Linked DNA regions of Caenorhabditis elegans. The protein of the gene in region 1 interacts with the protein of each later gene in a pairwise test. Each region holds a gene or a part of one and is shown on either strand. Other genes may lie near its edges.

Region 1 (3,756 bases):
CAGTCTCTGAGTATTGTGTCAGAGTATCTAATCGCTTAATAGATCCGTAATAGAATTGGTGTGGGGTTGGAAGAAAGCGGGAAAGAAAAGGCTGTTGATAACACAACAAGAATTGTATCATTGCCAACGAAACCGAACAAAAAATCGATAAAACATTGCCAATGGCAGTTCCAAGTTGCAAAGAATAAAAACATTGAAAATTCATGGTCTACATGTAAAACACGAACAACTTATCTCAGTTTTGAGAAAGTTGTGAAATTAATACCCAGCATTGGAAAGTGTGTTTGTGACAAGATTTAGTGATTATTATTGGAGATTAAGTAAGAGAGGGCTTATTAGACTACTATGTCAAGAACAAATGGTATAGAAGAAACATTGAACGCTCCTTTTAAAGAACGAACAGAGACAGGAAAAATCCTAAAATAACGTCCTAATTTCCAAAGTTGAAGCCAGGAGCCACGTTGGAGTTGCTCTTATTGCTATTGTAAGGGCATACGTAGTTGGATGGGAAAATTCCACGCCTGTTGTTCAGCTGTCCTTCCCACCAGTTTGGATCGTCTTTGTTGATCACTGAAAATAAAATATAAGAGATTTTCTAAATGTTTTATTTTTCGGGGTTGCTCAACCCCGACAAATAGATGATCAACCGATTAACTCTATTTTTACGTTGTGAACATTCATAATGCTGCAAATTGTATCTTGAAATCCAATGTTTCTCCGAAAAGTAAATAATAGCCACAGAGTTTTTTCATTTCAATTTGAGTTTATACAAAAACTAATCTAACAACTGATTTTCAATACGTGCATTTATTTGTTCCAGTGAAAGTTAGTTTAAGCAAGACGTCTCATATTATCTTCCTAGTACTTTGTATTACCTTTTTGTTATTTTTATGGTTCTTCTTAAATATTCTTGTTTTAAGATCTATAAAGTGAATAGTTTCAAAATTTTCGAAATACAGTCCAAGATATATCCATTTTTACCATTTTCAATTAAACCTAGAATTTTTTGATTCAAACTTTCAATTGAACATTTTAAAATCATGAAAATTTGTGTTTCAAAAACACTTACAAGTGATAACATCTCCTCTTTTGAAAGCTAGCTCTCCACTCTCCTGTGGGTTGAAATCAAACAGGGCCTGTACAAATTTAGTCTCCACATTCATATCTGACAGCAATATTGTGTGAGTACGCGAAACAGAAGCGGTTCTGAAAATTATTGATTTTTTACTTTTTTTTTGAAAAAGTGTGACTCACCTGTGATAAGCAACTAATTCATTCAAAGAGTTGAATTTGACAGCCCACAAGTAATATTTACCATTTTGATCACGCAAAACTTTGAAATGTTGTACAGAATCTTGGAATCTGGAAAAAAATGTATAACTTTTTGAAAATCTATAACATCTTCTTACCGAACACTGATCGAAAATTCTCCTGGACTACTTTCACACTGTCGGACAAGGAAATGACCATCACGTACGGTTGGCTTTTTCAGCAATACTTCTGCGTCATTTCTTGTTATTTTACCAAGGTACCTAAAAATCCAGAAATTTTAAAAATTGTTTACGCAAGCGTTCTCAGTTCTTCGCGCCCTAGCTGCGGGGTATACAAACAAAAACCGCGAGAAGTAAGATCGACTGATTTTTAAAATATAAGCTTATAGATTAAATCCTCAAAAAAGTCAAACTATTTTTTCCCGAACATACCAATTGCATTCAGTCATACGAATATAATTAGAAGGAATGAATCCTTCATTTCCATCCAATTCAGCTTTATACCAATGTGGATCTTCATCTTTGTTCAAAACCTGCAATTATTGATTTTATCAGGGCCCGGTTATGATATTGTTGAACAAACTTTTAGCGTGTTTCCTCTCTTGAAAGACAACTCATCAGGTGATCCCGCCTGGAAATCATGCTCGGCGACCGCCTCCATCGTCTCGCTACCTGAAATATACTCTTTGCAGCTTCAGAAACAATTAACACCAAAATAAAACATAACAGAGTACATTGAACAAACATTGTTGTCAATAAATTGGCCTGCTTGAGAGACTGTATCTACATATCGACATATCCGCGCGGCGCCAATGAAAAATTATTAGAGCAATAAAAAAATCTAGCGGCAAAGCATAGAGGAACAACTGAGAGGGAAAATGAGAATGAGAAGAGCGTAGTGCAAATTGTAACAGGAGATGAGTAAGAGGACCGGCGAGAAAAAAGAAGGATAAATGAAATTGAGAAACGCAGAACGCAAAATAAAAACCCGCAGGGTCACTAGTTCGGTGATTGAGGTGGTTTTAGTTGAGTGTTTGAACGTGAAAACGGGGAAACAGTGGAAACAGTAGAAACCGGAGAGTAACAAACCGGGGCAACACTAAGTGTCGTCGATTCCGGCGCATTGTATGCAACACTAAATGTGCCGAATGCTACGACACTACTTTTCTCTAATACTCCAAATCTATCACGCGTTCTTCGTGTCTCTTTTTTCTCTCCCATCTTCGCACTGTCTCTATCTGTCTCTCCCACACACACACAAAAACAACGGCGAGTTTGGGCAGGCCGGACCGTACTGTTTTCCGCAATGAGTTCTGTAATTTACATGGTTTCAAATGGAGATTCAGAGAAAAAAGTGCGATACGCTATCAGCAGTCATCATGCACGTCTTTTCTTACACTTTTGAATGAATGGCCGGAGAAACGGAAAAGAACAAATGAAAAGTGATAAGAGAACACGAGAAAACGAAGAAGAAAGAATCAAATTGAAAATGCTCCAAGGCATTGGGTATTGCAATTCATCGATTAGAAGAATGTCAACAAACACACTCCCACCTTGTCCTGTCCAGCCTGAGGTGACTAACCGTCTAGAAATCAAAACATTTGGGTGTGCTGGGTAGTCAGTACCGATTCTCTTTTCAAAAATAAAAATGAAAACTATTTCGGAAATAGGGCTAGAGATGATAAATTAGATAGGAAACATAAATAGATTGCAACTTCAATCAAATTTTTGAACTTCAGTTGCTGGAAAATTATTTAGCAGTTAAAAAATTTAATGAAAATTACGAAATAAGACTATAATTTAACCGATATAAAAAAGATAATCGAACCTGTGACAGTTACTCATAAATACTTGACATTTTAATCGGTGAGTGTACGTAAATATAATAAGGAATAGTGTTTTCTAGCTGGAAACCAACTGTATTTACTACTAGTTAGTTTGACAAATGTGTATTTACCTGACTAATACAAAATCGTAAGAACAGTATCTATAGTAAAACTAATATATGACTGAAATTAACTTTTTTAAGAACCAAAATATTAAATTTTGTCACTGGTTCTTTAAATATATCCATATAACTTTTCTGAAAATTCTCACTGTTTTACAGTGTGAACTTCCAAGAGCAAGGTTATGTGACTGATTTGTCAATAAATTTACTAGGTTCCGTAGTCGGCAACTCGTGGCCACTTCTCAACCTACTTTGGCCACTTTCTAACTGCCATTAGATTTCCACCACTTCCCACTTCTCGACCAACTTTCGTCAACTTTCACACACTTTTTCTAGTTGCTTAGAGCGTAAAAACCCTGTTTAACCAACTTTTGCCACTTTTGCAAATGACAGTTAGAAAATGGCTAAAGTTGGTTGAGAAGTGGCGCCGATTTACCGAATAGATTAACATTCTCAGTAAAACATTCTGAATTTGTATCGTTAACAGAAACTTAACCCAAATTTTAAATTTAGGGTTTCACTTCATTTAGAGGCTTG
Region 2 (3,756 bases), 3.1 Mb from region 1:
TGCTCGAGTACGTACATGCTTTGCACATCATCATCAATTTTTGACAGCTTCTTTCTCTGAAAATATTACCGTATATGTTATTCAAAGATTTTTTGGCTACAGCTGATTAAACTTAAACTTACAAGCTTTTCAGCTAACATCACGTTACTTTCAATCCTCTCATCAACACCTTCCAAATCTGCTTCCATTTCTTGAATTCGCCTTATTTCTTCATCATCCGTACCCTGGAATTTAAACTTTTTTAAACTTCTGAAGGCATAATTTTCTCATACCAAGTTTTTCAGTTCCTCTCTCATTTGCAGTTTCTTCTGAGCATTGGCTTGTTTTGTGTTCTCAATTATCTGCGTGTCTTCTTCCATTTGCTTATTTAATTCAGCAATTTTGCCCTGAAAATGAAAAGTTATCTCAAAACTAGATGTACCTAGCAACTAACCATCAACTTCTGAACGTATGCTTCTGGGTCATCAAGAGCTTCAATAAGTTCTGGCTTGTATTTTGATAGCTTATTTTCGAGCTCTCTGTTTTGCTCTTCAAACTGCGAGCGTTTCTCTTGTAACTGAAATAGTTAGTATGAAATTTTGACACTTTCAATGACAAACTAACAGCTTTATACTCTGCAAGTTTCTGCTCATATTCAGCTTGTAAAACTAAGTTTTCATTATTTTCTTCCGTCGCTTCTTCAACAGTTTCTTCTTCCTTATCGACTTTTTTGGCAAAAATTGGCTTTGGTGGAAGTGCAGGCTTTGTCAGCTTGAAGTTGAAGTCTTTCTCTGTGTGACTGGAGTTTATGTATTGCGAAATCCATTTTCTAGGATCAGAGTTTGGGATGGGTTTATTGAAGTTGCAAAGTGGGAAGGTTTCCGGAGTATTCTGAAAAAAATAGATTAAAAACTCTAAATTCAAGTTTTCAAGTTCTTGTTCGAAATAAAACTGTTTGTTTCATAGAAAATTAGACAATTAATGTCAGAGTCCAGAAAAAAGTTTTGATAATTTGAAATTAGCATTCAATCAAGCTCAGAAATTTGAAAAGTGCTCAAAAATGGTATGAAGGATGTCAATCAAGTTTGATAATTCGATAATTGGCAATTGTTAAATTTCAAGCTACCTTTGAGTACATTCTCAAGTGCTTCAGTTAAAGTGAAACTTTTTTTTAGATAAATCGTCTTTTCTATATTTTCACACTAATTATTAATGAATAATGTCGGTACAACAATACATTCGGCTTTTTGTTTCAGAGTTTAGCTTCAATTCAAATTTCAAAAAAAAAATTCCACACACATTTGGCAATTTCCATTCCCGATTTCTGTTCAATCCACGACAGTACACAGGAACCCATTCTGGTTGTGATTTCTCGTGTTTGACTACACTTTCCAGAAACTGATGACCCTGGTCTGAAATCAATCTTTTTTTTTAAATTTTTTTTAATGAAGTGAAGATTAGTGTTTACCTAGAGAAACGGCCTCTTGTGCGTCGGCCGGCAATTTCCTTATCAGTTCAATGAATGCACTGCGAAGATTGTTGATATTGCCGTATAAAACTGTGTGAAGGGCGGTGTCTCCGCGAATGTGAAATTTCTGAAATGAAAGGAATTATAAAGTTGAGATTAGTCAGGGGTTGACGTTACCTGCAGATAGTTAGAAATTGCGTTTCCAAGTTGCAGCCTGGTAGTTATAACTTTTGGATATACATATGACGAAATTGTTTGTTTACTACTATTATCTATTTTCCAAATACATCTGAAATATTGTGAATAAAAAATTAATAAAACGAAATCAAAAATAATAAATATTACCTTACTAAAAACTCAAAAATCTGAGGTGTGCTGAATTCTATTTCATCTTCATCAGCAAACGAGCTGAAAATAATAATATTTTAAAGAATAAAATTAGATTTCAGACAAAAAACATACCACTCAAGATGTCGGCAAGCGTCTCTGATGAAAGCATCAGCTTCCTCCATTTTCCGCAGGTGAAATTCCCTGAAAACAAAATAAATAGTGTTAAATGTTCATGTATATATTAGTGATAAAAGATTTCAGTGGTATATAAACAAATAAAAACAATTTGTAAAACATAGATAGTGAAAAAGAAAAAAATCTGCATTGCGTCCGATGCGCAGAATTCTACGACATTTGTTTACCGTAGTCTAAAAAAGAAGGCAACACACGGGGGATGGACACAGAGTGACCTAGTGACGGTGGTAATATTTGTGAGGCATGAAAGTTATTTTTCGAGAATTAATTTTGAATGTGAAACTATTCATTTTTACTTAAATACAAACACCGAGATCATATTTGCGCAAATTTAAGCATAATTTAAAACAAGATGTCATGAAGCTTTCTGTGCTACAGGCATTTTTGAACTTTTGAAAGTAATTTTTTTTAATTAATGGTTTTTCATAATTCAAATGAAAAGATTGAGGTTTGCACATTTTAAGAGCACCATTTTTGTTGCGAGGGCGAAAAACCACATTTCTTAACTTCTGCAACAAAAATTCGACAATAAAGCATTGTTTAACTTACAAGGAAAGTTTTTAAACTCACTTTAAAAAAACTCTCTAAAAAGGTTTATGCAAAAGTATCGCAACAGAGAAACACTATGAGCTGATATAAAGCCGACCTGAAAAATAAGGCCCGCAAAATTCCTAACAGAATTTTATTCCTAGTGTTTTCAAGTCTTAAACGCTCCTCAGTCGCTATACTTTCAGTTTTTTTTTGTCAAAAGTTTCCATTACTAAATATTTTGAAAATACTAATTACCAAAAGTCAGATTTACAGGTAAAATATTTTTTGTGGTAGAATTTTTCTTATACTTCACTGAAATTCGAGAAAAACTCCGCCTCGAATATATGTTATGGACATCAATTGAATTAAAAATTGCATTTTCTGCATACATTTATAGTTTGGACAATTTCCAGTTTGGTTGAAAACTCAAAAGAACAGCATGATCCAGAGAAACAAATTAGTGCGGAATATTGTCTCTTGGGGATATAAGTTCCAATTAGAGTCTGATTCATTTGTCTGCATTTTTGATATTTTAATTCAAATTTGCTCAATCGCAACCATATTCTCACATTTTCCGTTATTGTTTGTTTCAATAAGTTGTTTGGAACTATTAAAAGCAAAACTCTTAAGAAAGAGAATCCCACAAAAAGGCAATTGCATGGATGTCCTGAAAAACCGAATTTACTAAACAATTTGCATGTTGTTTAAAATTTTTCTAGTTTCAGTTATGCAAAACGTTAATAGAATTCTATGACTCACTAGAGTGATAATTGAAAAATCTCCGCCGAATCAATGAACTCTAGTGTATTTACATTATTACGCTGCCAGATTTACAACATCCATAGTGGGAATGACGACAAGTGTGAAAAAGGTCGTAAAGTGAACAGCTGGATGTGTTGGCGACCCGTAAAAGGTCAGTTTACTCTATGAGTACAATATTTTTGCGGCCGTACATTTTTTGGCGAAAACAACTACTATCGATTTCAAAATTTTGATGTTTTCGTGGTTTCATAGTGGCACCTGCTGGCTAGGTCTCAGCTGGAGAAGATTGAGCCAAAACATAGACAAAGAGCAGAACAGTAATCCCCAGTCGATTGAGTGCTCTGATCCACCAGCGATCATAAAGGTATTTGTAAATCTGTCAGATTTATGGATTACCCCTACTCGGTTTTATGGCAATACTGTTTGTGTCTTTAGCGTTTTCTGGATTGGCAGCAGTTTTGGATTTTTTTTCTTACCTGTCATTTTGTAGG

Evidence for each region. The genes of interacting proteins can lie anywhere in the genome.
Region 2: the proteins of sem-5 (region 1) and R08E3.3 interact in a two-hybrid assay, tested with the Caenorhabditis elegans proteins (3 studies listed by BioGRID).

The regions. Positions count from the first base shown.
Region 1 is NC_003284.9:7,959,781-7,963,536, forward strand, and holds the start of sem-5 (Sex muscle abnormal protein 5), read right to left. Parts: upstream 1,944-3,756; 5' UTR 1,933-1,943; coding exon 1,855-1,932; intron 1,805-1,854; coding exon 1,704-1,804; intron 1,533-1,703; coding exon 1,410-1,532; intron 1,363-1,409; coding exon 1,255-1,362; intron 1,207-1,254; coding exon 1,070-1,206; intron 571-1,069; coding exon 431-570; 3' UTR 1-430.
Region 2 is NC_003284.9:4,816,821-4,820,576, reverse strand, and holds the start of R08E3.3 (CCDC22 N-terminal domain-containing protein), read right to left. Parts: upstream 1,985-3,756; 5' UTR 1,960-1,984; coding exon 1,910-1,959; intron 1,856-1,909; coding exon 1,793-1,855; intron 1,737-1,792; coding exon 1,625-1,736; intron 1,575-1,624; coding exon 1,448-1,574; intron 1,392-1,447; coding exon 1,279-1,391; intron 871-1,278; coding exon 604-870; intron 557-603; coding exon 434-556; intron 387-433; coding exon 273-386; intron 225-272; coding exon 123-224; intron 57-122; coding exon 1-56.